4 linked regions of the Saccharomyces cerevisiae S288C genome follow. The protein of the gene in region 3 interacts with the protein of the main gene of each other region in a biochemical or structural test. Each region holds a gene or a part of one and is shown on either strand. Other genes may lie near its edges.

Region 1 (7,886 bases), on a different chromosome or scaffold from region 3:
GAAAGCCTAATGCGGTATCACCTTTAAGGGTAGAAAGTAATGAATTATCATCACATTCGCATTCACGTTCATTATCACACGAACTTACAAAGCCTTCAGGGCGAAGGAAAAGTTACCACAGAAAAAGTCATGCAATCTCATTCAGCAGGTCTTGTAAGCCAAATTTCATTGACGGGTACGATTCTAATTCAAGCATAGGCGTCAATTCAAGAAAAACTTCATTGGCAAGTTCTTTCTTGGACAAAGAATATCATTCTTCACCGGATACTTCATATACCCACCAAATGTCCCCGAAAAACACAATCATGAATACCAATGAACAATTAAGAAGAAACGCAAGCGGTAGATTCGGGAGTTTGAAAGAATTCGCTGAAAAAAATCAGATAAATATTGAGGGCAAAATTTTTGCTCATAAAGTGGAAACTGGAGACATATTGCAACCACTAATTGACTTAGATATTGACAATAAATGACTGGATCATTTGTCTCGCATTTTTTTTTTTCGTTTGTTTTGATAAATAAAGGACTTAATGTTAGTTTTGATAATGTTAAATGAATATATAAAAATAAACCATGTAAAGAGTATTTTGTTACGCTGTTTCGTTATAGCGTTATGTCAGTGTTATTATTTCTTATACGCGGAAAAGCCTGATCCATTCTGTTCTGAAACCGATCTTCATATTTTAAATTTCGCGAATTAACTAAAAAAAGAAAACAAACAAAAACTCGTTTCAAGTATTGCCAATGATACAAACAAAACGTTTCAAAGTATCTCCTCAACTGACGGACTTTGAAAGAGCCCGAAGATTTAAACAATGGACTGGGCAATCAAAGCAGCTAGGAAGAAAACTCAAAGGAAGCCAGGCTCTACCCGTTCAATCATAGAAACCCTCGATGATCTAAATAATCTAACAACAGATGCACATTCAGAAATAAATCAACGATTGTACGAAAGTAGTGAATGGTTAAGAAATAATGTTTATATGAATACACTCAAGTATGAAGACAAAAAGATGGAAGAGTCTTTAATTAGCCCCGAAAATACGCATAACAAAATGGATGTCGAATTTCCTAAAATGAAAGGAGAATATGAACTTTCTAACTCCCAGAATGATGCCGCAAAAGACGTTACTAAGACACCCAGAAATGGATTACATAACGATAAAAGTATCACGCCTAAATCACTCCGCAGGAAGGAAGTCACCGAAGGAATGAATAGATTTAGTATACATGATACCAATAAAAGCCCGGTTGAGCCATTGAATAGCGTTAAAGTCGACGCCAATGAAAGCGAAAAATCCTCACCATGGTCACCTTACAAAGTTGAAAAGGTTCTAAGAGAATCCTCCAAGACTTCGGAGTCTCCGATTAATACAAAACGCTTCGATAATCAAACATGGGCGGCTAAGGAAGAAATGGAGAATGAACCTATACTTCAAGCTTTAAAGAAAGCTGAATCAGTAAAGGTGAAACCACCACCGAATTCTGGGATAGCGAGATCTCAAAGAAGGTCGAATATGTTTGTTCCACTGCCGAATAAAGATCCTCTTATTATTCAACACATTCCACCAACAAAATCTTCAGGATCAATACCAAAAGTACGAACAGTAAAGGAATCACCAATCGCATTTAAAAAAAAATCTACGATAAATAGTCCTGCTATAAGAGCTGTGGAAAACAGTGATACCGCGGGATCTACAAAAGCATCCAGTGTTTTCGATAGGCTATCATCTATTCCAACAAAATCATTTGAAAACAAAATTTCCCGTGGAAACGTTGGTCACAAATACTCCTCTTCATCAATCGATTTAACAGGCTCCCCCATGAAAAAAGTTTCTCAAAAGTTTAAGTCAATAAACTCCACGGATACTGATATGCAAGAAGCGTTAAGAGATATATTCTCAGTAAAAAATAAAATAACCAAAAATAATTCACCCAAAGGAAAAAACTCTCGAAAATCCTCTATTCCGAGGTTTGATAAGACTTCTTTGAAGCTAACGACACACAAAAAGCTAGCAATCATTGCAGAACAGAAAAAGAAGTCCAAACACTCTAGTGATGTTCATAAAACTGGTTCAAGACCGCACAGTATTTCTCCAACAAAAATAAGTGTCGATTCAAGCTCGCCATCTAAAGAAGTTAAAAATTATTACCAAAGCCCTGTAAGAGGTTATTTGAGACCAACAAAAGCGTCTATTTCGCCTAATAAAAATAAAAATTTAACAACGTCGCAAACGCCACATCGTTTGAAAATTAAAGAGAAAACATTAAGAAAACTTTCTCCGAATATTGCTGACATCTCCAAGCCAGAGTCTCGTAAATCCAAAAATTATCGGCTTACAAACCTTCAATTACTTCCACCAGCAGAGGCAGAACGAGATGACTTAAAAAAAAAGTTTGATAAAAGGTTATCAGGAATTATGAGGTCTCAACAGGAACATCATCGGCGTAAACAAGAGAAACAAAAAAGGATGTCGCATTTGGAACAAGATCTAAAAAAGCAAACAAGCTTTAGTAATGACTACAAGGACATACGTCTAAAAGAATCTTTGGCTCCTTTCGATAATCATGTGCGAGATACCATCAACAAAAATACTGCATTTAGTACCGACAATATATTGGCCACAATAAATACAGTTGACCATCGAGAAATAATCGGAAATGTGACCCCAAAGATAGCCTCTGTCAATGATTCTTTACCAGAGATAAATACTGATTCTGAAGATGAGGCTAGCGTAACTTTAGCGGCATGGGCTAAATCCCCGTATTTGCAAGAGCAATTGATAAGACAGCAAGATATAAATCCACAAACTATCTTTGGACCAATTCCGCCTTTGCACACCGATGAAATTTTCCCAAATCCTAGGCTAAACAGGTTGAAACCGCGTCAAATTGTGCCCAAAAGGTCTTGAATTCGATTACCCCAGAAAAGAAAAATTCAAACTGGTTAACATTAAATCAAGTACACTTTAAATACTCTGGTATTCCCCCTGCATTACGTATATCGTTCACTTTCTTTACTTTTCCTTCTTGCTTTGTTATTTCTATCTACAACTTTGCGTTACATATTTTTAACTATTTGACACTTCACACAGATCTTCTTTCTAAGGCTTTTTGCTTATCCCACTTGGAAATCCACCCTTCACTTTCTACCTTTGGCACAATATATATTTTCAAAGCGTTATCGAACAATGGTACATCTGGCGACTCTTTCTTCAAGATATCGTGAAATGTCAGTTTCTTACCAGCTTTAATCAAACCACCTGCCTTTGTTTCCATGAACACCAACACTTTCTTTGGTGTGAAGTTTTCCTTACCTTCTTTTTTGAAGCGTTCTTGCGGCCCTTCCAAAACTAGGTCAACAAGTTCTTGCACAGTAGTTAACTCACTTACTTCACCTACAAAATCAAATTCATCTTGCGTGGGGTACATAATTAATGCGGGATAGATCAATTGAGATTCAAAATCCATTGGGTCTTCTAGCCTTATTTTACCCTCATTAAGTAACTCTACTGGAGAGTGAGTTTTGATGTTAGTTATGTTTCTCAGCGTCATTGCGCTCTCTAACATAATTTTCTTGTTTTCACGTTCCTGAGCTTCTCTTTGCTGTTTTTCTTCTTTTGCTTTCAATTCTTGTTCTTTTCTATCAATCACTGATAACATATTCAAAATTGATTTGTTCTCTGGGTCAATCCTTTGATTGGCAAATGTTGCGGCTGATTTGGCCTCCTCCAACTTGTTTAATTGGAAAAAAGCCTTGCTTGTACGATAGTAGCACTTAACATTCTTGGGGTTAATAGTTAGAGCTTTACTGCAGTCCTCGATACACCTCCTGTAATTTTTCAGCTCTAACTCACATGCCGCTCTATTGGCATATAGTGACTCATTTATTGATTTATCTTCGCATTCTACAGCCAAGCCCTTTGAGTAAAGTTCCCTTGCATCCTTGAATCTTTTTGCTTTGTATAGTTCGTTACCTTGCTTCTTGAAATTTTCAGCGATTTCGTGTGGTTCGCCTTCATAAGCTAATGCCTTTAAAGCTTCTAACTCCACGTTTTCACCACCTGCACCGTCTGTTTCATCCAACTTGGTCATGAAAAAAGGCATTCTGTTCATTTCTTTCAAGATTTCATCCGATGTTTTATCTTTAAATTCGGATAGTTGGGGTGGAAGTTCAGGATCACCTGGCCCTGGCACATATTTTTGTGGTTTGGTATATCCTCCATTTGCGTTAACGGAGCTCATTCTAGATGCAAAACCAATTTATTCTTTTCTTTTACTTGCTAGAATGTAGTGCTCAAGACCTCACTTTTAATTCAATGCTGCTTTTGAATTTAAGCTCATCGCTCTGAAAAGTGCCGGAAATTACACATATTCTTTTTTTCTTTCTTTTTTTTCCACCTTTTTCCTCACTGCGTTAAGAAAGAGATGAGGTGAAGTTATTTTGTTCTGTGTACTATAATCACACATTACACAGTTTTCTGTGAAACTGTACAAGGTGCCTAAACAGAGATACGAACGCATACGCTTTTAGTATTTAAGTCTTTAAGCTCATTATCCGCACAAGTAAACTTGAGAACACAGACTCTCTACATATAAAGTGCCAGATATCTTGGTAATGCTCGGTAGGTGGATTAACGTACTCTTATCATCAACCGAGACTAGAAACCGTATCAATAATTTATTTTATATAGAGCAGAGCATCTGATCGCTAGTTAATATGCAAGCATTTAAAATTAAAGTGGCAATGTATTGTTGTTGTCCTCTATTCGACTCCTAACGGAGGCCTTTTTTTAGCAATGGCTGACCGCGGAAGGAAAAATTTTTCTTTTCTCTTGAAAAATTTTCAATCATATATATTATTCAAAACGACGCAATTCGGTGAGGAAGATTACAAACGTTGCTAACAAGGGTCAACAGATCACGAGCCAATTTGAATTCAAATTAAATTAGTAGGGGATTTACAAAATTTGTGCGCAGGTGGATATTACTAATAAGCTAAGACAATGGACCAAGAAAATGAAAGAAACATCTCAAGATTATGGAGAGCATTCAGAACAGTAAAAGAAATGGTTAAGGACAGGGGTTATTTTATCACTCAAGAGGAAGTCGAATTGCCATTGGAAGATTTCAAGGCCAAGTATTGTGACTCCATGGGCAGACCACAACGTAAAATGATGTCCTTCCAGGCAAATCCAACAGAAGAATCTATATCAAAGTTCCCAGACATGGGCTCCTTATGGGTAGAATTTTGTGATGAGCCTTCCGTTGGTGTAAAGACAATGAAGACTTTTGTTATACATATTCAAGAAAAAAATTTCCAAACAGGTATCTTTGTTTACCAAAATAATATTACACCAAGTGCAATGAAATTGGTGCCTTCTATACCACCAGCCACCATTGAAACTTTTAATGAAGCTGCCTTAGTGGTTAATATTACTCACCACGAATTGGTTCCAAAGCATATCAGATTGAGTAGTGATGAGAAAAGAGAGCTTTTAAAAAGGTATAGATTGAAGGAATCCCAATTGCCAAGAATTCAAAGAGCTGATCCTGTAGCCTTATACTTGGGATTGAAAAGAGGCGAAGTAGTTAAAATCATAAGAAAAAGTGAAACCTCTGGTCGTTATGCCAGTTACAGAATCTGTATGTAGAGTGGCATTTGGATTTACCCCTTTCATATAATATAAAATAACAAGAATATGTACAATTAGAAATAAATAATCTGCAATAAACCAATCACTAGTATGAAAATTTGAAAGGCGCGTTTTTTTCACTAATTTCAGAAAGAAATTACACAGAAGGTGGAGTTCTAACACTATTAGTCATCGGCCAGTCTCGCACAAAGCACCACATCGGTAATGCCCTTCCACCATGACATATCCTTTAAATTTACTGTTTGGGGTGGGCTAACTTCGGTGCCTGAGCTACCCAGAAATGTTGATCCAATAGTTATTATAAGACTGTTGACAATATCGCTCCTCAGCAACAACTGATTTATTACATTGGCACCTCCTTCAACCATTACTGACCTTATATTGAATTCTTCTTTTAATATCTCAAACAATTTCTTCCAATCGACCAATTTCGTAGTATCATTTATTGGACAAATTGCGTAGTCTACATGTTGTTCTTTTATAATGGGCTCACTTGTGACAACAACGATTGGCGGCTTACCCTGTCGTTTAATAAAAAGTTCTTGCATTTTTGAACCATCAAATCGCCACTTTTGCTTTGTATCTATTATTATTGGCCTTGGGGAATTTGCAGCCGGATCGGGACCCCATTTACAATTCAATCCAGGATTATCAGCTAGCACTGTTCCACTTCCTACGAGTATTCCATCGTGATGATGTCTCAAATAATGCGTCATTGTTTTGGTCTCGGGATGTGAAATTGTAGTCCTCACTCCAGGGCCCCTAGATACTCTCGCGTCGAGCGATTGAGCATAAGTTAGTGTGACAAAGGGCACAATGGTATTTTCCGTTTGACCAGCATTCGGTAGATAGTTTTGCAGAAATTGTGGTAAATCTTCACACAGTGGTGTCAAAGACATATCTTCTAAAAATGTTGATAGTAATACAAAGAAGCTACCAATAGGTTGGTACTGTATTTCTGCTAGATTGTTTCATCGTATCCAAAGCCAGATGTAATGGTTCTGCGAAAAAATTTGATATCTTCATCTTTGCCTCTTTTTTCTGTTTCGGGATTTTCCCGACATCAACTAACTGAAAGGCATGTGGGTTTGTGTGTGTGATGCGGTGTTATATAACCGAATATTCAGTTTCTTCGTAATCTCTACTATTCTTGCCTAGGTCACCAAATTCAACATTTTTAGTTCTTGTAATCTTGTAACGGTTGTTATTGTGAGATTTTTCTACTTTTTCAGCCGATCTTTGTTTTTTGTGATCAAGTTTCTCTTTCTCCTTGTCCAAGATAACGTCGTATTTGGTATTCCCATCTTTGCCTTTTTGCATCGCTTCAAATCGTTTTGCCTCATATTCTTCTGATTCTCTTTGTTTCGCAAGTTGTATTCTTCTATGCTTTTGCTTTCGTTCGTTCTGCCTTTCAAACCATTTCTGTCTCTCCTTTTCTGAATCGACTTCATCGTTATCATCTAAGAGCAAGCACTGCTTGATCAATTCTTCGTTGGTGCTGTAATTGGTGTTAAGTCTCAGCTTCATCGTTTCGTAGTTCTTTGCCACTTGATTAGCTTTGTCGATGTTTTTTATCATATTTTCCTTCTTTGTTTGCAGAACTCGTGCGTCATCTTGGGCATTCCAGGGTTGATCTATCTTGGTAGCTTTCTGCAAATTATTGGCCTTTTTCTTCATAAATAATGGCCTCGGTAAAGGTCTCATATCGTCACTATCGCTCGAATCACTGTTGTCGCTACTTTCTTCACTTTCGGGACTCTCATCACTTTCGGGACTCCCATCACTTTCATTTGATTCTTGGCCATCATTGGGGGTGCGGTTCTTTCCTGTACCATTTAAAATTTCGCCGCCCAAATCACTATGGCTTAATGAGGCTGATTTTTCTGTTAGAGATACGTTTTGGTCTGGATGCTCTTCATCCGCCGAAGAGCTTTCATCTGCTGAGCTTGTGTCAAGTCTCCTCTTGAAATGTCTAAAACTCATCGTATGTGATTCAAATCAGTAACCAAAAAAAATTCTTAATCTAGCGGTGGCGGTAGAAATCTGCATTTGTTCTTTCTTTACTGGGAACAACGAAGAATTGCTTTTCTCAATATATGGCGAAATATTGCATGTTTGCAAAAATTATAAAATGAAATAATGAGCAGCAAGTGGAAAACAGAAAAAAAATCAGATGAAAATATGAAATGGATTAAGAAAATGGCCAAAGAATCTTTCATGTATGGAAAG
Region 2 (7,701 bases), on a different chromosome or scaffold from region 3:
ACTATAGTATAGAGACGGCCGCCATTATATATTTGTAAATCGGACTTATATTCTAGTGTTTCTTTTTTTCGTAACACTATAGATAGCTCTTGATTGCAAACCATGAGCGAACGATAATATTATAGGCCAAATTGGCGCATCACCCAATATTTGAACACCCAAATATAAACATTTGGAGGATAGACTTGCCGCTACAATTAGTTGAATTGTCTCATTTATATCGGTATTCGGGTCCATGGCCCTTTGTGCTTGTTCTTCATTTAGTGCTGACAAATCTAGGGCATCCTTGTCCTGCCATCTTAAGAAATCAGTGTACGATTTCAACACATCACACTCCTTCGGTATCAAGTTCATTTGTAATCTTCTCAAAATCCTTTCTGCTTTTAGCCATAAGACACGGTCCGAAAAATCCAATAATGCTGAGTTAGGGTTGTTGGCATTGTACCCGCGTGCCCAATCCTCTACACATTTCATGTATTCCGAAATCACTAATACTGCAGTGAACATACATGTGGTCGCAAATACAGGAGTATTGAAAATTCTGCGCTTGCCCTGTTTAATGTACGTAAAAAATGAAGTCCACGCATCCACCATATTCAGTGCATACTCGGTAGCTTCCCTCAATGAACCCATGTCATAGCAAACTTCCTCCAAAGCTTTATTCATATTGGACCAATCTTTCAACCAGATTTTCTCAATAACATGTGCCAGGTCCAAACACCGTCTCATTTTGGCAAACAAATATACCGGAATTATTAACCTCATTGCTGGATTGGCGTTTATTGTTGACATGCTATTCTCGGTAGGTGTCAAGATGCCACCATTTTTCAAATAAAGGTTTTCCCAGTATTTTAACATTGTATCGATCCGTTGTCTGGAAGTCATCTTCCACTCAATATCGTCCAACTCAATGTTATTGCTATTGGTGTTGTTATTACTGATCCTTGCGTTATTTCTTTCAATAAGTATTTTCTCATGGATAGATATCAACAATGATAGACATGTACTTAACGAAACCCTAGCATTTCCGTAAAAAAAACTATCGCCTGTAGAAAGAAACCTCAAACAATTTTCATATGCCTCGTTACCATTAGACAATTCAATCAACGAAAATTTCGAATCTAACGTTATTTTGTATTGACATAATAGGTCCGACCATTCATCGGAATTTCGGCACTGATATAATTCTTCTTTATAGCATGGAACACCACATTTTAAATCGACTGAATGAAAACAGCAATCAGCACCTACCAGTGAAGAAAATAAGTTAGATATAAGTAATACCGCATGGCAAGTCCTGATACGTGACTGCGCCAATACAAAATATTGGTAGTTTTTGTTCATTTGATTCGGCGCGTTGTATTGCTCTCTTATTTTTGAAAACATATGAGGACTGTTTTCATATTCCATAATATGATCACTCTCAATAGGCGGCTGGCATAGGGACTCTAGGGGCAAATTTAAACGAGAGGCCTTCAAGAGACGAATAATAGTCGTCAACTGACCATGCATCCCCTTGATCACGGCTGTATTTTTATTGAAAATACAGTAGAACGTTAGCAATACTAATGTCTGTATAACCCATAACTCTGTCGTCTCCGGGTTTTTCTCACTAACTTTCAAGCTTTTCCTAATTTGGGTGCTAGCTGCATTAGCTAACACTTTTGCATGCGTCGAATGAAACCCATACAATGCTCCGACCATGGAGATAGATAATAACAAGGGATAACTGTCCATATTAGGTATGATAGAAGGAAGATGAATAAATGAAAAAAATGGATGGAATTCTTCCTTATAGTAAGTCACATAATCGTTCAATTGACTAGTTGTGGGGAAGGCTCCTGAATCGATATTATTGTCGGCTAGCATCATACTCCTTAGCTCATTGGTAAAAAGCACTTGAGATACTGAAGGGACAGAAAACGGAGATAACAAATCCGAAGGAGTAAGAACAGGCAGCTGTTTCTGTGTTGCATTAGAATCAGTTTCGCCGGGGAAAGACAAAGTGAGAACATCGTCGTTCACATGAGAATTATTTTGCTCTGTCCCGTTTAATACCTTGGAAATATCCAATTGCCTTGAGCTGAAAAAATTGGATAGATCGTAGTCCATCATGACGCTATCACGACGCCTCTTATGAGAACTATGGGAAATAGGGTCAGAATAGGAAGGCTCCTTTAGTTGGTTTTGTGGTGTACTTGGTAAATCTGTGCTTCCATTCAAACTCAAGTTTAAGCGAGGTGATAAAGAAGCTTTTTCATGATTTAATGAGGTAGCAGAATGGTTTGGAGGTGACTTGTTTGGTATAGATGACCTTGATGAAGGTGGAGAATAAATAAACCCAATGTCATTGAAATGATTGAAGTTGATCTTGAAGGTAGATTTTGGATCAGAGTTGTTAATAAACTCTGATAACCACTTGTCATCTATGGCAGCAGGATCGATATTACTATCCTTATCATTGGGCTCCATTGATGGTTCCAGTAAATTATTTGTGCCTGGATTGAAATTGATCGTGGAAGAGGAATCTGAAACAGTTGTTGGTGGGTTTTTAGGAGATAGTGACATAAGCGGCTGCTCATTGCTCATTTGCCTATAAGTTTGATTTGCCAAATTACTGTAACTATTAGAAGCCGTAGTAGAATTAGACGGTATAGTATTCGGGAAGCTTGACGGAAGGTTAAATTCAGAAACTGTCGGTTTATCATGACTGAAGCAGCCCAAATCAAATGGCGAATGGTGGCTAGACATGTATCCTCCCGCACCTGCATGTGCAGAGTTCATTGTCAAAAGATCGGTTAAAGATGGACCGCTACTTAAGAGATACACTCCAGGTGTAGCAACTGTACTTCCATTGTTGCTGTTCACTATGGTACTAGAGGTGGAATTTTGCTGTTGTTGTTGTTGTTGTTGTTGCTGTCCGGAGGGGTCATTGTTAAATAGATTTAAGTTAAACTTGATAGCTTGCGGTGGTTCGTCCAGGGTTAACGGAGGTAAATCCAATTCTGACACGCTTTCCATGAGCTGCTTCGCGGTCATTTGTGGAGTAGAAAAGCCGACTTGATGCGGAGCGTCTTCAACGAGCTCGAAATTGGTAATTGAATGGTGGGGGCTATTGCTACTAGACATGTAAGTCATTGCACTGGATGCAGAGAAAGACGCATGTCTTTTCGTCTTATGCATGGAAGAGGGAGTGTTCGCCCTGTCGATAACAGCATCGCTTGATGCAGAGTGAACTGGCACGCCTTTCGTGCTGAACTTGAACTCTCGAAATCCTAGGGAGCCTGCCTTACTAGGAGGAGTTTTCTCTCGCTTATCGTTCATTACTGGGGCCGAGACGGGAAGTTCTACATTATTTGATTTGGCCAAGGCAACCACGGCCTCTTTCAATTCTTCAGATGTCTTACCAGCAAGGTTCTTCGGGGTGGGTAGAATAGTCTCTTTATTTCCGGCTATTTTAATGATATGAAGGTCGGTTGGATCATCCGCCGCCACGGAATGGCGCCGCTTGGAGGCAAAAGAAGAAGTCGAATTTGGTGCTGGCGTCATTCGCCGTGGATCCCCCGTACCTACAAGAGCAGCATGAAGTTTTTGCTGATGCCTGAGCACTAAATCTCTACGAGCAAAACACCTACCGCAAAAGATACAAAGATACGGTTTCTCACGGGTATGCGAATGCTGATGTCTCTTCAAATGCTCCTGCCTGACAAAACCCCTAGTGCATGTGGGACACAAGAACGGTCTTGGCTTATCAGTCTTAATAATTCGAGATTTTTTAGGAATGGGCAGAATACCTTGACCAGCGGGCTTAGCGAAATTAGATTGATTACCGTTCACAAACATACTTGGCTCCGGCACTAATAAAAAATCTTTATCTGCCCTATCTATTCTAGTATCGCCAATGTCTTTTAGCTTCTTCGCCCTAAAGTTTCTTTTTGGTGCAAGAGTCTTCGAGAAAAACGTGTGTTGAGAGAGGCAATGTTTAACGAAGAAAAAAAACTCTATGGAAATCCAAGAAGTCCTTGTTTCTTTGTTTTCGTTTCTAATATATGCAGGGTCAAGCGGGAAAAAGAAAGACAGACGGAAAAGTGCCCAGCAACACGGAACAAAATTGTCCAGATTTATTCGAGCGGCCGCGGTTAGTATGCATAATGCAGGCGCCCCTCGTCCAAATGCGAACGGTTCCATCCGAAACAGGCCATTTCCCAAAAATTATTTCTCTTAATAGAAGTTGCTCGCGTAGTTACCTATTGTCGATGCCGCATACGCAGTTACCTTATCCGTTGCCCTACGGAGAATTTCCGCGATGCAGCACCGTGCGGCGAGATCACAATTTTCCTTGTACACTCTACTCTGCCCCTGGAGTGGTTCACCCCCGTCTGTGCGTATTTTCGTGTATGATGATATAAGGTCGTTACTACCGTTGATTCAAAAACAGTTGCTTCTTCCATATATTGTAGCACGAACAACTATGGCCGGCCGCAAATTGCGACAATTACACCTAACGCAGCATTAAGGTCGCAGGAAATGTTATCTGCCGAGCTGTTTATCTCTGTTTTCCAAGATTTTTTCAACCAGCCCATGAGTCTGCTGTTGGCGGCAACCCAGTTACAGATAATGGTGCATGTGATAAGCTTCGTACCACTATTCGTAGTTTGTTACATCTTGTAAGCCAGTATATATATTTGTTAGATTGTGCCCTAACGTTCCAGTAATTGAAGGGTAACCGAGGTTTCCGTGGAAAAAAACCGTGTATAAGCAAGAGGTTCCGAGCGAAAAAAAAAAGTATAAAAGAAAGCACAGGCAATGAGATTTGTTTTTCGCTTTTCCTTCTTATTTGTTAATTCTATTTTTGAAGTTTCCTTCCGAAAAAAAGTAACTTTGTCCTAAAGTACTAATCCACCGCATTAGACAGTACGAAGATCGAGCTATTTATTTGAACACTCGGTCTTATTCGTGATAAGCGTAATGTGGAGAGATCAATTTCCGGGTCATTTATAAGAACTCGAGTGGATTGCTAGTTGTTTTGATTAGCTGAATGAGACTCGAGTGTCAGAAGATGACTATATTTTTTTTCTTTTTTTTTTTAGTTATGTTTTATTTTTGAACTTGTACTTGCACATGTATCTTATTGTTTCGTGATCTTGTAGATCCGTATGGGTGCAATCAAAGGTTTGAATTGCAGGGCTTTCATCGCGCGGATCTCGTTGTTTGCGTCGTACTCTGTGCTGGTGACTATGGTACATTTTAGCCCGAGTTTATTGCACTCTTGAGAAAACAGTTGGACAGTGGATTCGCTTCTAATTGTCGCGGATAGGAGACACAGTTTGCATCGGTCTAAAGCAAGACATTCGGCCAGACACTCGCATAGATCAGGAAGGATAGTTGGGTCATACGTAACATCTGCCCCCACTACTAAATCTATATCCTCAGGAACTCTATCGCTGCCCCACCATAATCTTTGCAACTTGATGTCTGGTTCGTTCTCACGCACTTCATTGTTCAATTCAAAATTTCTTTTCAGCTGCGTCTCAACGAGATTCGAATCACCATCCGTGACGTACATCTTATTTACGAACTCGTGATACTTTTGTAAAATGACGAGACTCACTATGCCTGTGCCAGCGCCGACCTCAAGAACATTTAATTTTTTCTTGCCATCGTCTTGTCCTTGTACCGGTGCCAACTCTTGTAAGGGCTTATGAATAAGGAAATCACCCATGTATAAGGCAGCTTCCCATGTCCTGAAACCTGTAGTACTGGCCGCACTGATCAAATTCGGTGTTTCCTCAATTTTGATCTTTACGTCCTCGTCAAACCTGTACCTCACGACGTCTTTCATCATCGGGTCTGGCTTGCCTGTGCTTAATAGTTTTATGTACTTCTCATAGAGATAATCATATATCTCTATCTCGTCTTCGCCATCGTTGACAATTGTGAATGCCTTCGCGAAAATCCATTCGTGGTCTAAGAGCATCTTGACTATGGTTTTGCAATAATATGCATTCGTCTTTTGCACAAGTTCCATCTCACAAACAAATCTCGATGCATGCAGGACATCGTTAGATTTGCTTGTTTCCAACTCTTCTAGCAAGTATTTTCCAGGGCACCGCTGATGTAATCTATCGTAGAATAGATCTTCATTCATGTTATCTTTGACGAGGAGGGTCAAGTTTTACTAGCTCGATTTTTCTGCTTTCTTTTCCTTTTTCATTTACTTATACATTCTTCATCATTTTTGCGATGATGTACTAACTGCTAGTATTTATTTCGCTGTTTGTCGTGTCCGGACAATCAGCATTAAAATTTTCTACAGAGTTTTCTAATACATATAAACATTTTGGCTTTATTCCCCTAAAGCTTTCTCAATGGCACGCTGAAAAACATTGCATAAAACGTCGCTATTTTCCAAACCGACGCTCACTCTTACAAGATTTGTTTCGACACCATATTGAGCTACCTCGTCTAATTCCTGGTAGTGGGCAATAATAGCATATGGACACGCCAAAGTGAAATTCGTACCGAGAGAAGGTCCTTTGCACAATTCCAGATTATTGAAAAACTTCTTTGCCTCTTCAATATTGAAAAAAGTTAGTGAAAATAAACCTCCATACCCACCATCTTTTGTAGACATAACGCTGTCATAATTCCGCTTGGTATCCTCTGATGTTAAACTGGGGTAATATATTTTCTTGAACAATTTTCCCACCTGAGGCAATAACACCCTTTTTAACAATATATCAGTGTTTGTATTCACCTTGATTGTACGTTCCACGAAGTCTCTCGAATTTCTTTCCAGGCATAACGCATCTTCGCACCATAGGCAATCTTCATATCCGTCTTCAGTCTTCATAAATTTTCTAGCAAACTCATAAATCTTTCCTCTAGGATTTAGTACTAAGGATCCTGCAATAACGTTCGAGTCGCCGCTGAAGATTTTCGTTAGCGAACTACAAACAATATCGGCATACGGTAATACATCTATATTGACAAAGCCACCCACAGTTTCATCGACCACTATGTAAAATGAATACAAGTCTGATAGCCTTTTCAGTTCTTGTAAATCTCCCATTTTCAACAGTGGGTTCGATGGAGCTTCTATAAATACCGCCAGTATTTGCTCACCAGAATGTAAAATATTTTTCAGAGCGTTCATTGACGTTGAATCTCCCTGTCCCAAGAAATGTGTGTGATTGAACTTCCGAAGAATGCTCAGAGTATCTGTATATGGGAATCCAAACATGACGGTCTTCTTGAACGGAGGTCCATATCCAATCAACTTATCTTGTCTACTAGAAGACCTTGATAAGCGCTTGGCATCGAAGTTTAAAAGCAGCCTGTGGGCAGTGAAAATGGACGCCATTCCACTTGGAAATAAGTAAACATCCGTATTAGGGTTGACATGAAACTTCAAGTCATCGGTAGCTGTGTTTTCAAAAGTACTGTTTGAGCCACTTTCTCCCATAGAAGTAATTGTTTCGGCAGGTATGTCCGAATTCAACTGATCATCATCCAGAGCCTCTCCACTGCCAACATTGAATGGACCGTTGCTCTCGTTATAGTGTTCAAAAGAGAATAGGTCCGATAGACCTTCAGAGTCAATTTTTTCAACAACTTTTGTGGCAATCCTCTTTCGTATTAGATATTTGGCTTTATCAGCAGCAAGAAAATTTAAATTTCTCCCAAATCTCGTTTCTATAT
Region 3 (9,202 bases):
TTCAAAATTCTCCAAATAACTGATTTTCATTTCAAATGTACGGATAATAGCATGACCGTAATCAATGAAATAAAAACAGTAAATTTTATTGATAGGGTACTCGCATCAGAAAACCCTGATTTAGTTGTGATCACAGGTGATTTGTTAGACTCACATAATACTATCGACTATCAAACGTGCATTATGAAAGTTGTCCAACCAATGATTTCTAATAAAATACCCTACGCAATTTCATTGGGTGTTTCTGACGAATCCAATTTGGCCACATCGGCACAAATTAGAGACTTTATCAGGAATTTACCTTACACATTTAACAACGTTGCATCAGAAGAGGGTCATATGGCCATAGAAGTCTCATTTAAAAAGAAGCTCACGAAGAATACTCTTTTGGAAAGAGACATTGATACCGAAGACGAAACAAACCCATCAGAGGCTTTATTTTTCGTCTTTGATTCATTTGCGCCCGTCAATAATTTCCTACAAGATTATAACGACCTGATTGGGAAAATAGACTTTGGCTTGGCATTTCAATATTTTCCATTATCGGAATATAGGCCTCATGGTTTATTTCCTATTATTGGGCAGTATAATGAGAGGTCTACCTTAACAGTAGATACGCCAAGGTCTAGAGGACAAGTTTCAATGACGATCAATGGCAAACATTACAAAAGCTTCCTTGATATCCTGAGTCTTTGGAATATAAAGGGTGTCAGTTGCGGACATGAACATAATAATGACTGTTGCTTACAGTCAAAAAATGAGATGTGGTTATGTTACGGTGGGTCCGCTGGTATAGGCTTGCCGAGAATCCAAGGTATATATCCAACCGTTAGATTATTTAACTTGGATGATATTTTGGACGAAATAACTTCGTGGAAGAGGAATAGCAATCTTGTTGACGAGGTTTACGATTATCAGTACATCTATAAGGGGAAGCAATAATTTCAATGATTAATTTTGTAAGGTGAACATTGACTGCCAGCAGGATAGATGATAGATAGACATAAACAAAATATACATAACACACGGTGGTGTTTTCTTTTTACACATAATATATTTAATTCTTTTTCTTTTTTTTTTTTTTTGGTTTACAAGTCCACTGAGGGACATTTTGAGTTATCACTTATGGTCTCCTGTAGCATTATTAAAAGAATAAATATCGAAAAGTATACATACTTAATAAAAACTTCAGGCTATTAAATAAACATCAGAACACATTGAGGACAAAGCCATAGAAGTTTGGAGTAGATACGGAATTTTTATTGTATGTATATATTATATATCTAAGCATTTTGCTTTTTTTTACTTCATAATCTTTCAGAAATCATTATATTAAACGGATAGTCATTTGTTTTCAAGGCGTGAAAAAACCTGAGAGGGAAAAGAATAGGACTTTTATAATCTCTTGATGACTGCTTCAGTGAATGATGAAGTAGTAGCAGTACCAGCCAAGTCACCTGTTCTGTTTTCTGGACCTGATGCGATAGTAGACAATACTGCATTTTGAATTTGGTCAGCATGATTCGTTAGACCCATGTGGTTTAACATCATTACTGAAGATAAAAGTAGGGCAGTTGGATTCGCTTTATCTTGACCGGCAATATCAGGGGCAGAGCCATGGACAGCTTCAAAGATCGAGATTTTATGACCAATATTGGCAGATGGAGTTAAACCTAAAGAACCGGCGCTCAAACCAGAGTTCAAGTCGGACAAGATATCACCGTATAGATTTGGACAAACAGAAACAGCGTCTGTGTAAGCAGATGGGTTGGTGACCACCTTTAACACACTGTTATCAATAAGTTCAGTTTCTAAAGTAAGGTCAGGATACTCTTTGGATAGTTCTTTGGCAACATTAACGAATAAACCATCAGCTAATCTCTGGATAGTAGATTTATGTACCACAATAACTCTTGGTCTGCCGATGGCTCTTGCATATTCAAAAGCGTATCTAATGACTCGCTCAGAGGCATCTCTTGTGATCAGTTTAATAGATTGAACAACGCCAGGGCAAACTATGTGTTCGATACCAGAATATTCACCTTCGGTATTCTCTCTGATAAGAACTAAATCAACGTTTTCGTAAGTGGTCTTAAAACCTTCAATAGACTTTGCGGGACGAACGTTGGCAAATAACCCAAATGTTTTTCTCAATGTCAAATTCAAAGATCTGTGACCTTTACCAATAGGTGTAGCTAGTGGACCTTTTAGTGCAACCAGGTTTTTTGTGATAGATTGTACGGCAGGGTCAGGAATGGTCGTTAATCCGTTGACAAAGATAGGGCTAACATCACAAGATTCCCATTCTATGGGGACGTTTGCTGCACTAAAGATTTTCTTTACAGACTTGGAAATTTCAGGTCCGATACCATCACCTTCAATGAACGAGACCGTGTATTTGCCGGTAGAAGGGTTAGGTTTGCCGGTATATCTTCCGATTGAAGGTTGCTTTACAGTAGCCAAAAACCTCCTCGAGGTGTTTCTAAAAAAAGTATTTCTCAACATTATTAAAAAATATTATAATTGTTGTTCGTTCCCGATCTGTATCTTATTATCTACCAAGGTAATTCAGGTTCAGAAAAAGTGTATCCAATAATGTCATGCACTTGGAATATATATTTATATAAATATGAATAATAAATGAAAAAGAAATAAGAAAAGAGGAAAACTTTAGAAGGAGGGTTTTTCTGATATGACTATGATGAGAAACTAAAACCTTAGGGCCTATAATAAGGGACCTATGAGCTTTTCAATAACTTATATATTCTTTAACCAAACAATGGAAGTTACAGAAAATAGGAACTGACCAACCAGAGCGGCCCGTGTCATGCCCCCCCTTGCCGAGATGCGGACCGAGATTGCTGAAAGAAGCGCCGAGTATCGCAAAAGGCCCCTGGCGGGGCAACGACAATTTCTTCGCCGAACCTCGGAATCGACTAGCAGATCACAGTGCTTAGGAAGCTAAGGCTGCGTTCTAGAAGGGCTAGTGAGTCTTCTCAACCATGACTGTCGTTGTTTGTGTTTGGTTTTATGTTCACCTCTAGGAACTCTTTCTGTAGGGTCTTTGATGCCAGTATTGCTGCTGTTTCCAACGTTCCCAAGTAATTTACTAAGTCTGGGAGAAAGGGACTCTGCACTCAATGTTCTACCTTTAAAGGATCTCGGTACAGAAAGCCCATTGTTATCAAAATCTATTGGGCTAGGAAACAGTGCATGATGATGATGATGATGATGATGTATGGTAAAATTGTTGGAGTCAGAAAGTGCACGTGACCTTGGAAGCATATGGTCATCTATTGAAGGGTGCACAAAATCTTCTTCATCGGAGTCAATAGCCATTTCAGGAACGGTAATGTTGTTAAACTTTGCTACTGTTCCTGCATGCGGCATGGTGTCCTTATTCGCTTTTTCCGTATTCGGTATTATATCTGAAGCGTGTAGTATGAGGAATTCGATGACAGTTCTGGAAGCCTCATACTCTTTCGGGCACATTTCATCCTTGGGATGAGACAAAAGTGAGGGTTGTACGATGGCCGCTAAATTGCTTGCTGACATTAAATTCTTCTTTTCATTTCTTGCAAATAAATTCAAGAGCGCGGCTAAATAAAGTATTAAATGGCGATTTTGTTGTGGTAAGAGCATATAAATATCTTCGTAGTCCTTAATGATTTGTTCTTTGTGCTCATTTATTTTTGGGTTTTCTAATATTGGATTTCTAAAAATGTCGTATAATGCTAGGGGAACCAAAGGCTCACTTAATGAGTTCAAATATCTTTTTAATAAAGTTGCAATGTCATGAACATTGAAATCACACCATCCTTCAAATTTACGACCATAATCGGGCGGTTTAGAGAAAACAGCTTGTAGCTCTCTAACACGTTTATTGCTTCCCGCAATACGGAAAATTCCTGTTGTGTCTAATGCATTCTCTTTTAGGTATTTCCCACTTTTTGCTATTACCACCGGTATGGAACCAATTTCATTTGTACTTTTTTGGATAATTACTTCCTCTTGAGCAACTTTCAGTGATTCCTCGAGTGAGACGCCAAATACTTTACCATCAAATTCGTTTTGCAAATTAGTAAAGGTGTCCCTATCCTTCTTGCCCTCAACAGAAGACATTGAAGATGACCTATTCTGTGGAGAACCCTCTTCAGAAGAAGGTGTAGAAAGTAGATTCATGTTAAACATTCTATTTTATGTTGTGTAATAAGATATGTCCAGAAATATACTATGGTTATTTATGTACTCTTTCCTGTGTACGCGTTTCGATTATTTTGCAGGTTATATTATATACTGCTATCACATGCTAAAACAAGAGTATCTAACAATGGGAACACAAAGCAAGTATTGATTTACTCATTCCAGTTGTGTAATTTTCTTCTAAAGATGTACTTAAATAAGAAGAAAACAATGATTGTCTTCGACCTCAACGCCTCGAACCAACGCTTTCCCCAATAGCGAGAGAAAGTAAGTAACCGGAAAATTAATTACCTCTTTCTTTCACCTGCAGGGGCTGAGGTGCTTCTGTTAGTGCGCCTCTAGAAGTATCGGCCATAATGAGATATATACTTTGGTTGCCCCTCCGGTTTTGAGGGAGTTTTAGCCCGATGAGGCTGGTCCTCCCCTCCAAGGATTTTTTGTATTTCCTATTTCGCTCTAATTATAGAAGCACCAACATACGGCGGGGTATAAACCAAACAATAGCCGCGGAAGCCCAATCTTCTTCTCCTTTTTTCGTAAACGGATAAAAAGCTATGACCAAGAGCCAGGTAAGTTATACGTAATACTACCTCAGGACCGATGTCATTAATGAATTATAATGGTTTTTAATAGTTTTTTCCATAGTATATCTAACGGGGTGGTGATACGTCGTAATAGTCAAGAAGTTGCCGTTCCTCCCCCTCTACAAAGGGGGCGGTAATACGAAAAGGTCCATTTTTATGATGGGTTCGATTGTAAACATTCGGAATATAACTATATGACAAAAATGTGTAAGAAAATAATATATAAGTCTATTACCATACTATTTTTATTACGACAAAATTTTAAAGCAGAGAATAAATGAAAAAGATCATAAGGCGGTAAGGTTTGCTCTTACAGAACCACCTTTTCTCATTTAGACTTCTTACAATTTGTCGTAATATTCTTGCCAGCCTGGAACTTCTTCCTTCATACCGTGTCTCTTACGAGCAGCAAGAACAATTTCACCAGCCTTAGAGGTTGGGTCCAATGGGTCAGAACCTAAAGTGGACCAATGGTCGAAAACCATTTGTGGGAAAGCTTGACCACCGGTAGCTTGTCTCAATTCACCAGTGAAACCGAAAGATTCGTTAACTGGCAAGTAGGCCTTGACGGTAAACAATGGAGTACCTGGTCTTTGTTCTTCAGAAACGACTTGACCTCTCTTCTTGTTTAAGACGGAGTAGATACCACCGACGGCTTGTTCTGGACATTGAATTTCGACCAAGAAAACTGGTTCTTGGATCTTTGGATCAGCCAACAAGAAACCGGCGTAAGTAGCTCTTCTCATGGTTGGGATGATTTGACCACCACCTCTGTGGATAGCATCGGCATGTAAAGTAACATCCAAAATGTTAACTCTGACAGATCTCATTTCTTCACCGAAAATTGGACCTTCCTTGGTAGCCCATTGGAAAGCAGCAACAACGGAATCCTTGATTTCGTGCAAGTATTGGACAGCCTTAGTTTGGTCAATAACCAAGTTTGGACCGTTACCGTCTGGACCGAAACACCAGATCTTTCTGGCATCGGTGACATCCCAACCGTAGTCGTCAGCCATGATTCTAGCTCTGGCCTTGAAATCATCTCTTGGGTTGATGATACCGTTTTCAATAGCCAAAGAGACTTCTTCGTCAATTGGTTCAGCCTTCAAGTAGATTCTGTTATGCTTGTTTGGAGACTTGGACAAAGCAGTTTGAGAAGATTCACTTTCAACAGTTTCTCTGTAAGCGACAACTGGTGGGGAGATCTTCAATGGAACACCAGCGTGGTCGTGTTCCAAATCTTGCAAACAAATTTCCAAATGCAATTCACCGGTACCAGCAACGATATGTTCACCGGATTCAGACATATAGGTCAAGACACATGGATCAGACTTGGACAATCTCTTCAAACCTTCGACCAATTTTGGTAAGTCGTTAGCGTTCTTGACTTCGACAGCGACTTGCACAACTGGAGAGACAGAGAATTTCATGACCTTCATGTTGTGAGCAGTTTCACTGGTGGTCAAAGTACCAGTCTTCAACAAGAATTGATCGATACCGACTAAACCGATAATGTTACCGGCTGGACAGTCATCGATTGGTTCGACAAATCTACCCATCATCAAAACAACTCTTTGAATGGCCTTGATGAACAAATCGTCCTTCTTACCTGGAACGTAGTTTGGACCTTGGATTCTGACCTTTTGACCGGACTTAACAGTACCGGCAAAAACTCTACCGAAGGCGTAGAATCTACCCTTATCAGAGGTTGGCACCATCTTGGAGACGTACAACATCAAATCAGCCTTTGGATCACAGTTCTTGATAGCAATACAGTTGGCATCGTCAGCTGGACCTTCGTATAATTGTTCAGCTCTGTAGGCTTGAGCAGTGACTGGAGATGGCAAGTGCAAGACAATCATTTCCAATAAGGCATCGGCAGCTGGCAAGAACTTTCTCATAACAACCTTCAACAAGGCCTTACCTTCCAAGTCCTTTTCGTCACCCTTCAAGACAATTTCCAACTTTTCTAGCAAAACTGGAATTTCGTCTTTCTTGAAGTTCATGATAGCAGTGAATAATCTGAAGATTGGGTCCAAGATGAACATGTTGAAAGCTCTTTCCAATGGCTTACCTTCAGCATCAGTGTCCTTGTTGGTCCACTTCTTGGTCTTTGGGTTGAAGAAAGAGTCACCCCATAATCTGTCCATCATCTTGGCCTTGTCGACACCGAATTTCTTAGCATATCTGGTGGCGAATTGACGGATAGTGAAAGCCCAACCGTGCAAACCGGAACCGAAGGCAACGGTACCTCTGGCTGGGTAAACTTGGACATCACCCAAAACTTCATCGGCGTAGGTGGAAACGATGACGTTAACGGATTCAACAGTTCTGGCAAAGGTTTGGTATAAATCTTCCTTAGAAACTTGCAATTCCAACAAAGCTCTGTCGACCTTGTTGATAACAACAACAGGCTTGATTCTTTCACCCAAAGCTTGTCTCAAAACAGTTTCGGTTTGGACACAGACACCTTCAATGGTGTCGACGACAACCAAAGCACCGTCAGTGACACGTAAAGCGGCAGTAACTTCAGAGGAGAAGTCAACGTGACCTGGAGAGTCGATCAAGTTGATCAAGAAGGAGTTACCGTCGGTCTTTTGCTTGATTTCCTTGACATCTTCGTCAGACATTTCAGAGTATAGAGAAATAGCGGTAGACTTGATAGTGATACCTCTTTCTTGTTCATCCTTTCTGGTATCGGTGAAACGAGCTTCACCAGCCTTAGCAGCGGAAATAATACCGGCTCTTTGGACCAAGGAATCGGTCAAAGTGGACTTACCATGATCGACGTGAGCAATAACGGACATGTTACGCACATTGGTAACTTTGTCCATTAAAGAACGCATTTGGTCAACAGTGAAAGCAACCATTTTTATCTGTTATTAAAAATTCTTGGGTGCGTAGGTCTGGCTTTCTGGCAAATGGGGTTAAGTAAAAAAACCAGTGAAGCGTTTAATACAACAGTAGTATGCAATTGAGATTAATTAAAGGAAGGCTCATGGCAAAAAAAAATTTTCTAGGTGAGATTTGAAAAAAAATTTTAAAAGTGCAACACGGAAGTTTACCCGGGATTAATATCAACTAAAGGAAAAAGATCACCTTGTTCAAAGGTATGAATTTTCTACTTTATATACGTATTATTTAGTGGACATGCCCAAAAGTGAAGCAGCATGGCGCGCATTCAGTGATGTAGTGTCTGAGTCCTGAGAGTTGTACCCATCGTCTTCAGTGAATAGTTCATCATCAAATTCGGTATGAGCGATCTTGTTGATGGGGATTTGACTTTTGCGGTTGCTCTCTCCCGTCCAACTGTCCCCTTTAAGGGTTTGAGAAGTATCGGAGTTGTTGTTTGAGACAGCATGGCGTCCTAGACGTGACAAACCTCCGTTTTCATCAGCTTTTCTGATATCAGAACGTACTCGTTCTAGTAACGTCAGCTTCTTTCTTTCATACTCTATCTTTCTTAGTGTAAATTCTTTGATCGAGCTTCTTATCCATTCTTCATACCAGCTAATCCACTGTTTTCTCTCGATAATCATGTTGGACGTGATTCGTTGAAGCTTAAGGGTCAAAACTTGTTCGTTTTTAGCTGCAGCTTTCAACTGACGTAGTGCTTCATCGATTTTCATAGGGTTAATATCTCTTCTTGACCGGAACCTGCGTGCTTGTTCCTGTTTCGCCTTTGAATTCTGCTGTGCCTGTACTAGATTTCGCATGATAAAATGCCTGTTGGTCAATGCTTCCTTCACGGCATAAGCATCTCTGACAATCCACTCTAAACCATCGTACAATGTCGCCATGTCCATGGTTGCTATAATGCTATCAATATCACCCACAGCAGTCAATATTTTACCGTATCTTCTGTAAAGTTTATTGTGCTCATCTAGATTAACGAAATCCTGGCCGAAGGCATTTTCTTCTTGAACCATCATCTTGCGATTTCTGGAAACTCTTAGCAGTTTTTCTTGCAAGCTCTGAGAAACAACATATATAGACTTGACTAATGGCCGGAATTCTGCTAATTCTGTGATTTCATCATATGGAGGTGCTAATTGTTTCAATGTTTTTCTTTTCAACCCAGATGCGAGTGATTTGGACTTGTTGATGGGTGTGTACGTATTAAAGTCACTTTCAATGAAAAAGGCCACTTCTTCATTCCGAATAATTAAGGGGTCTTGCGATAGCCTGTTAAACCAAAGTTGGAAATTTCGCGTTACTTTCATCCTATCTTCTTCGCTATTAATTCCGAATGTAGTATACGCAGAGGGAAGAGTAGGAACAAAAGATTCCTGAATGGCAACATTCAGATATTTGAACAATTGGTGGAATTCTTCGTATGATTTTTTGACATTCTTGTATTGTTGTTTGCGAAATGTTGGCAAATTTGTGGAGCAATCAAATATAATAGTCGGATT
Region 4 (8,098 bases), on a different chromosome or scaffold from region 3:
AGAGTGACATTTAAGGATTCTGATGAATTGAAGACGCTAGAGACACTAGAACTAACTCCAAGGTCTGCATTATTACTTAAACCACTAGAAACTCAAAACTCGGGGCTATCTGTGACTGGGATGGAGGGACCAAGCCTTTTGGGCCGTCTTTATAAGGGATTCTCTACGTGGTGGCACAACGATAAAGATCCTGAAGTAACATCACAACGTGAGGAAACATCGAAGCCGAATCGTCACGAAGTGAGGTCTTCAACACCTTTATCTGGAGCTGCTTCGTCAAGCTGTTTCCAATACAACAATGTTCGGGAACCAGTTCAATCATCTGCTCATGCATCACCAATGCTGACACCTAGCGGAACCAGGTACCCATCGGAAACCAACCTTACTACGTCACGTTCTGTCTCGCCAAATGTTTTCCAATTTGTTAACAACGATCATCAAGAAGATCCTGAAGACCCAACAACCTTTAATGGTAATAATGTCCATTTAGAAAAGAAAAAGGACGAAGATAAAAAATAAGTAGTTAATGGCTTCAACTCCATTTATGACTAGTATTAGACGTGAATTTTTTTTGATTAGATTACATAAAAAAATATACAGTAATTTTATTTACATGGATTTTTGTTATAGCTGGTATTTTTATATCTTTTTTTCTGTTTCAAATGCATATAGAAAAATTGAAGAGTAAGTTTATATAAACACCTTAATTACGGGATTAAAAATAAAACAAGTTTACAACTATAATCACCGCAAAAGAACTCAGCGAAACAGGAGCAATGAGTGAGAAAGAAACAAATTACGTGGAAAATCTCCTTACGCAATTAGAAAATGAACTTAATGAAGATAACTTGCCTGAAGATATCAACACACTATTAAGGAAATGTTCTTTGAATCTTGTGACTGTTGTCTCCCTTCCAGATATGGATGTTAAACCACTACTGGCTACGATCAAGCGTTTTCTGACGTCTAACGTATCCTATGATTCATTGAATTACGATTACCTTTTGGACGTTGTGGACAAGCTTGTTCCCATGGCTGATTTTGACGATGTTCTAGAAGTTTATAGCGCGGAGGACTTAGTGAAGGCCCTTAGGTCAGAAATAGATCCATTAAAAGTAGCAGCATGTAGAGTCATTGAGAATTCGCAGCCAAAGGGTTTATTCGCGACCAGTAATATCATCGATATTCTATTGGATATTCTATTTGATGAGAAAGTGGAGAATGATAAGCTCATTACAGCAATCGAAAAAGCGTTGGAAAGGTTGAGTACAGATGAATTGATTAGGCGTCGATTATTTGATAATAATTTGCCATACCTGGTGAGCGTAAAGGGTAGAATGGAAACGGTTTCTTTTGTCAGATTAATTGACTTCTTGACTATTGAGTTTCAATTCATCAGCGGTCCTGAGTTCAAGGATATCATATTTTGCTTTACTAAAGAAGAGATACTGAAATCCGTTGAAGATATCCTCGTTTTCATCGAATTGGTTAATTATTATACTAAGTTTTTGCTGGAAATACGAAATCAAGATAAATACTGGGCTTTAAGACATGTAAAAAAAATACTGCCAGTATTTGCTCAACTTTTTGAAGACACGGAGAACTATCCTGATGTCAGGGCCTTTTCTACAAATTGTCTTTTACAGTTATTCGCAGAGGTGTCACGAATTGAGGAAGATGAATATTCTTTATTCAAGACTATGGACAAAGATTCTTTAAAAATTGGGTCCGAAGCAAAATTAATAACCGAGTGGTTGGAATTAATTAATCCGCAGTACTTGGTAAAATATCATAAAGATGTGGTCGAAAACTATTTTCACGTCAGTGGCTACAGCATTGGAATGTTGAGAAATCTTTCAGCAGATGAAGAATGTTTCAATGCTATAAGAAACAAGTTTAGTGCTGAGATTGTCTTAAGACTACCGTACTTAGAACAAATGCAAGTAGTAGAAACCTTGACGAGATACGAATACACTTCAAAATTTCTGCTCAATGAGATGCCAAAGGTGATGGGCAGCTTGATAGGTGATGGGAGCGCAGGTGCTATTATAGATCTTGAGACTGTGCATTATAGGAATTCTGCCTTGAGAAATTTACTGGACAAAGGTGAAGAAAAGTTAAGTGTATGGTATGAACCTTTATTGCGAGAATACTCCAAAGCAGTTAACGGAAAAAATTATTCCACAGGCAGTGAAACTAAGATTGCAGATTGCAGATGATTATGTTGCATAAGCGCAACTATAAAGGCGGCCTTGATTGTTTAATGTACTACCAGTATTGATTCCTGTCTGAATCAAAAACTAACCTTTTGGCGAGGTGGCCCATTCAGTTTTCTTCTCCATAAATTGTATAAATCAGTATGTAAGGTCTGGCAAGTACTTATAATTCACATTTCAATGTCTATGTAGCATGCATGATTTTTATTATAAAGAAAAACTATTCGCCTAAGCGCGTTCGTTTCTTTCCCACTAATTGCGAACGATTTGCCTATATAAATACTTAACGGCACCCCAATCATCCACACCCTCTGAATGCCGTTCTTCAACTACTTTTAAATCACTCTCTTTTAGTAATAATTTCAAAACCTCTCGTTCTTTGGCGTATTTTGCCCTTAAAGGTATTTCTAGGTGACAGGTCCCTGATGCCGCCAAAAACTTCGATATCATGTTAACTACCCATTCCGGATGCTGAGGCGAATATATCGGGTCGGCGATCAATATGACGTCAAATTCATTTTCATGTCCAAATTTATCTATAAAATCGTGAGGATTAGTCCAATCTAATATCTCTGCTTGAACGAAATCTCCTAAATTATTTAATGACACATTTTTCTTCAAATTCGTCACAATCTCGGGTAAATCCGTCACGAAGATTTCTATATTTTCAGTTCCATAAAGTTCTTTCCATTTTAAGGCCCATGAAAGTCCTACTAAACCAGTGCCCGCTCCTAATTCTAATACTTTAATCTGTTTGATGTCGCTGTTCGCTAACATGTTCACATTAGTGGTATGTAGGTAATCCAGGTGATCTACGACTAATTGTGAAAGTATTAAAGATGATCCCCATGTTTTCCAACCAAGATTATCGGCCGTTAAAGAGGGTTCATGAAGCGGTATGGAAGTGCTTAGATTTCTTAATTCAAAATATCTTACTATGGATGGTTGGGCCGTTCTCCCACAGTTTTCGGATATCCTTGAGCTCAATTCCTTAAGAAGTTCTTGTATGATTTCCTCATTCAATCCGCAACTATTATTGTATTTTTTCAATACACTAGTATAGTAGCCCAACAGTAGTTCTTTGGATACTGTAAATCTCAGCATTGGGATTTTATTGCATATCTTTTCCAACGAGTTTAACCTCTTGTTAGGCCATTCTTCTGTATACCAAGTCAAAAGTCTTTTCAGCAGATCGGGTTCCAGCCCATGACTCTTGCAAACCTCCAGTACAGATTTGTTCTTCCCTGTCTCCTGATTGAAGTTTACTTGTCTATCGGGCTTCAGAAGTATTAGTATACAAAGGATAACTTCTGGCGGAGCATACTTCACGGAGGGCAGATCCAGATTATCGATAATGGTGTCATCGTCGTCACTCTCTTCTTCATCTACAGCCGTTAATATTTCGTCACGTTGCGGTGAGCAAGGATCTTTTGGCTCTCTCTCTGCTAGATTGAACTGTAAAGCCTCAACCTGGATGTCATCAGGGGTGTACAAATCGAGAGGATCAAACATAGTGAAATATCCGCTATGGAACTCCTAACTTGCATGAGTTAGATACTTGAAAAGTAATATACAGATTGCACTACTATTATTTTGTAGCTCATCGCGAAATTGAAGAAAAAATTTACGATTGGAAAAAAAAAAACTACTATCAGAAATAGGTGAACCAATTTTAATGCCTGGATAGAGCTGCATACGCTACTAGCTTAAACCAATATTGGTGTCGCCTGTTTTCCTTTACCCAATCCAATATACCACTATACTGCGAATGAAGGTGTTGAAATAATTTGACAAGAGCACTTTATCCATTTTGCATGCGACCTTTACTAGCAATTTTTCAGCGATCTTTGCGGGCTTTAAAATAAGGTCAAAATTAAAGGGAGAAAGATAGAAGACAGTAAATAAAAAATACAAACCACAATAAGCATAAGTGGCTAGGCGAGTCTTAAACTACAGAGTCAAGCAATGGCAACAGACCTAAATCGTAAAAGAAGTGCTACCTCAGGCTCACTGAGCGTCACGAACCCGAACATAAAAGCAACTAATCGCAAACCAGCTAGAGTTTATAGTGTTTCTTCTGATATAGTACCGCAAGCGCTGACACATCCCGACGAAGATGTGCATCTAAAAACATCCAAATCTCCTCATGATGCCGCTCCTAGATGGTCACAGGTGGGGTTTCAATCTATATTCCATGATGGTTCCAATGCAAGGCGCTCGACGGATTCGATTGAAGAGGAGTACAGCCAAGGCACGGAGAATAACGATGGTCACTCCGAAATAGGTTCATCAAGTAGTAACCGAATGGAGGGGAACACCACGTCTAATGATAGTTTATTTTCTTCCAACTCAAGGGGCAATAAAAGGCGACTGTCCATCTTCACCAATTCAAAAGATAATATGAGAAATCGAAGCAGGAGCGGGTCAAAAAACTACGGCACTGTTATTACCGGCACAAGTAGTAACAACATAAGTAGGAGTGGCTCTAAATTGTTTCATACGAAATCTAATATGAGTGTGAACAGTTTACAATCTTCACTGTCTACAGGACATTCTCATTCAAACAAAGGCAGTAATGTCTTTAGCAAAATGGCAAAAAAGCTTTTACCCTACAAGCCGCATAATTCCATTGGTAAAGACGACGTTGAACCCGTAGTTCCCAGCCCATTCAGTAAATTTCTGCATTCTTCATATGGTAAACATAGGTCACCCGTACAGTTTATCCATACTTCTACTGGAGGCCTTATTGACTCTGGAAAATCTGTATATTCCTTTAACCCTAGCATTAACAACAACCCTAATGATACAGCTCTATCGCTGATCCAAGATGATGCTTTCGACGCGACTAATGTTTCTTTACTACATGATTTACTGAAAAACTTGCCATCCTTGATAGCAAACTATAAAAGCTTCACCGTACAGGAGTTATTTGTTCTGGAGGGGAATATCTGGGGTATATACTGCAGCATAGTTGTGGAGCTATTTAAAAACAAGAGGGTATGGCAATTGCCAGCAAAAATAGAAGATATTGACCGGCTGCTGGAATTTTATATCACTTTGAAAACACAAACCAAGGCTGCCGTAACGCACTCAAGGTTTTTGGCCGAAATCGAGGAATTCATTACCACTTCACTTTACATTTTAGAGAACCAGATTGTGTTCAATTATGCCAATGAGGATACCGTAAATACGGCTTTGAAAAGAGTCGGCATAATCTGGAAGGTGTTTTACCAACAGGTTTACTACGACATGATGGCAGTGTTACTGCCCTTCGAGAAAAGCTTCCAAAAAAATAGTAACTACTGGCTTGACGGATATCTATCTGAACCTTCAAGGTACGCACCGTCAATTGATGTCCTTTTATTAAAGTGTTTTAGAGACTCCATCATTCTTCCGTATTACGAAAGCTTCCTACATACAAATGACGGTGCCAGTAAGAGTTTTCAAAGATATATTTTCAGCGAGGAAGAACAGAACGGCGTCACAGAGGAAGATAAACTGACGCTGCTGCAGTGTTTTGGGATCCTGAATACCATAAAAGGTAACAGCAGAAACCAAAGAATTATTGGTGAACTTCTTGAGGGCATACGCATGAGTATATAATTAAATATTTTATTTAGTAATATACAATAGTGGCATATAGATAGGTGTATTTCCTTTTTCTTGTTCCAAGAATCCGGAAAAACAGATGCTCTTTTCCGCCCTATAAAGGGGCCAATGGGGAAAGTGCAGATCATATTAACTTGCTAAAGAGTCAGAAAGAACCAAATAATAAAAAGAAGAACTAATGTTGTGCGCCATCAAAAGCACAGGTTATCGGTATCCTCGCACGGGAGCCTTAAATCTACTACGTGGACGACCATTTAATATGGCCACCCGAAAAATAACTACTGAAAGGATCCCCGGCCCTCCCAAGCTGCCAAGAGAAGAGCAGGAAGAGTTCGAAAGACTTCAGAGGATTGCCACATCGCAAGAGGCAATAGATCAGTATAATGCGCAGGCCACCGGCGATCGTACAAAGGAGAGTTTGAATTCACCGCTTTTAACCAAAAACGATATTGGGTCATTCTCGCCTGAATTTTCCAAGACCATACCTGAATTCGAAGGTGATGTTAACCCCAAGACTGGTGAAGTTGGGGGTCCCAAGCAGGACCCGTTGAGACACGGCGATTATTCGTTTAACGGAAGAGTAACGGATTTCTAGATATTTGGTCCGGCCAATTTTTAATAATACTATTCTTATTTGATGAAACTGCGTAACGTTCAATTTACTTTTCAATATGTATGTTGTTATGCTTTATTTTGAATATATAATATATATATGTGTGTGTTATGAAATGCATACGTTTCATGTTTGCCTAAAATCTCTTTCTTGTGAGCGTCCTTCGAATTCTTTTCGAGTATGAATTGAACCTATTTCGCATGTTTTTCGTGGAGACAGTCTTTCTAGTGCTTTTTAACCTTACCTTTGGCATGTTTTTGATCTTTACACTGGGCACATTCATACTTATCTTAGCCATGATTGACAATTCAACTATCTTGTTTCTTGCGAATTTGTGGTACTCTAAAGGATTTAATTTTTAACGTTTTGTTTGTCCCACTTGGTATTCCCCAGGCGAAAAGATATGTGGGAACTATCATGTTTTTGTTGGTACAAAATAAGGCATTATGCTAAAAACATACTATTTAACCACGTACACACATATTTATTTACAAGGATACCAAACTTGATCTTATTAACGGAGGCTTAAAGTTGGCTCAAGAAATTGTTTTGCTTGATTCGCTGCCTGTTCGCCTTCCTTATGTTCTTTCTTCTCTTTAAGAGAGCCTGTCCCTCTGGGTCCTCAGCCGCATGTTCGACAACGTGATCACTATCCAATACGCTCCATAACCAATTTGGATACTCCTTGTCCTCGAGTGCCACTGCGTCTTTACCGCTCTTCCATATGTTTAAGTTAAGCGATGTTCCCGCAGGACACGACGACACCACTGACTTAACCGTGGGTTTATTATATAAGATACGACTGGTCGATATCAACCTGTAACCCAAACTGCGCGCCAACATCTTCAGTCTTCAGCAGCTATTTCCTTTGCTGTAGATATAACTGCTTTAAGAAGCCTATTAGTTTTTTCACTTTCGAGATTTTTGCGCCAAACAAGGGCGCACAAATACCCGGCATCACGCATTTATTATATGAAGAGAATATTAGAACAGGCATTTCAAAGCATGATTCAATGACTATAACATTGCTATAGAGGGGGTAGTGAAGAATTATCTAATGTACAAATGGTGAAGCAGTATATATGCGACAAAATACTAAAAAAAGTAGTGCAAAAAGAATTACTGCAGAAGTTGGTCTCTGTAGTGTGGTTGGTTATTGACGAACTTGGCACTTCTCTTATCGAGCCTTTTCTTGTCGAACCTCTCAGTTTGCCAAACACGCTGTTGAGTCTGCACGCCCTTTTTGTCGAAGGCAGGTAAGAACGATCTCGTCTCTGCAGCGACCAGGGTACCTTGGCCTTCGGTCAGTATCACCTCGGGCTTTAAGTCTTGCTTGTAGTATCTTTGCAAGGACCTGTGGCCAACTTTGATGCCTGTCGGTAGATGCAGCTCTATACCATCGTTATATAAGTACTCTTGTGGCAGATCTTCGTCGTCGCTTCCGGCTTCGTCGCTGCCCACGTCTTCCCAGTCATCTTCGTTGTCTGGTGTTGTGTTGCTATTAAAGTTTGCGTATGAGCTTGTAAAATCGTAGAATTCAGATATCTCCAACCTTTCATCCTCGCTTTCGTAGGGAATTTTACAGTGTCTCTTTGCCAACATGTGCTGTCTTACAGCGGTCAACGTTCTCCCCTGGTAATTACAAACAATACAAATGTTC

The links.
Region 1: the proteins of EFT1 (region 3) and CNS1 form a complex in vitro, tested with the Saccharomyces cerevisiae proteins (one study listed by BioGRID).
Region 2: of the proteins of EFT1 (region 3) and EFM3, one has a biochemical effect on the other in vitro, tested with the Saccharomyces cerevisiae proteins (2 studies listed by BioGRID).
Region 4: of the proteins of EFT1 (region 3) and EFM2, one has a biochemical effect on the other in vitro, tested with the Saccharomyces cerevisiae proteins (one study listed by BioGRID).

What each region holds. Positions count from the first base shown.
Region 1 is NC_001134.8:546,130-554,015, reverse strand, and holds CNS1 (HSP70/90 family co-chaperone CNS1), read right to left. Parts: upstream 4,246-7,886; coding exon 3,088-4,245; downstream 1-3,087. Other genes in the region: ICS2 (Ics2p), read left to right, coding at 1-473; SLI15 (Sli15p), read left to right, coding at 816-2,912; DNA-directed RNA polymerase core subunit RPB5, read left to right, coding at 5,007-5,654; RIB7 (2,5-diamino-6-(ribosylamino)-4(3H)-pyrimidinone 5'-phosphate reductase), read right to left, coding at 5,822-6,556; U4/U6-U5 snRNP complex subunit SPP381, read right to left, coding at 6,765-7,640. UniProt on the Saccharomyces cerevisiae protein: Co-chaperone that binds to the molecular chaperones Hsp90 (HSC82 and HSP82) and Hsp70 (SSA1). Stimulates SSA1 ATPase activity, but not Hsp90 ATPase activity. Involved in only a subset of Hsp90 functions.
Region 2 is NC_001142.9:658,872-666,572, forward strand, and holds EFM3 (protein-lysine N-methyltransferase), read right to left. Parts: upstream 6,149-7,701; coding exon 5,129-6,148; downstream 1-5,128. Other genes in the region: RSF2 (Rsf2p), read right to left, coding at 46-4,188; YJR128W (uncharacterized protein), read left to right, coding at 4,050-4,409; STR2 (cystathionine gamma-synthase), read right to left, coding at 6,347-7,701. UniProt on the Saccharomyces cerevisiae protein: S-adenosyl-L-methionine-dependent protein-lysine N-methyltransferase that mono-, di- and trimethylates elongation factor 2 (EFT1/EFT2) at 'Lys-509'.
Region 3 is NC_001147.6:573,553-582,754, reverse strand, and holds EFT1 (elongation factor 2), read right to left. Parts: upstream 7,658-9,202; coding exon 5,129-7,657; downstream 1-5,128. Other genes in the region: SIA1 (Sia1p), read left to right, coding at 1-942; isocitrate dehydrogenase (NAD(+)) IDH2, read right to left, coding at 1,396-2,505; GTPase-activating protein BAG7, read right to left, coding at 2,962-4,191; retromer subunit VPS17, read right to left, coding at 7,925-9,202. UniProt on the Saccharomyces cerevisiae protein: Catalyzes the GTP-dependent ribosomal translocation step during translation elongation.
Region 4 is NC_001134.8:740,482-748,579, reverse strand, and holds EFM2 (S-adenosylmethionine-dependent methyltransferase), read right to left. Parts: upstream 3,729-8,098; coding exon 2,469-3,728; downstream 1-2,468. Other genes in the region: UBX7 (Ubx7p), read left to right, coding at 1-519; HSM3 (Hsm3p), read left to right, coding at 777-2,219; BIT2 (Bit2p), read left to right, coding at 4,182-5,819; SDH8 (Sdh8p), read left to right, coding at 6,004-6,420; mitochondrial 54S ribosomal protein mL54 MRPL37, read right to left, coding at 6,964-7,281; REI1 (Rei1p), read right to left, coding at 7,558-8,098. UniProt on the Saccharomyces cerevisiae protein: S-adenosyl-L-methionine-dependent protein-lysine N-methyltransferase that mono- and dimethylates elongation factor 2 (EFT1/EFT2) at 'Lys-613' and methylates elongation factor 3A (YEF3).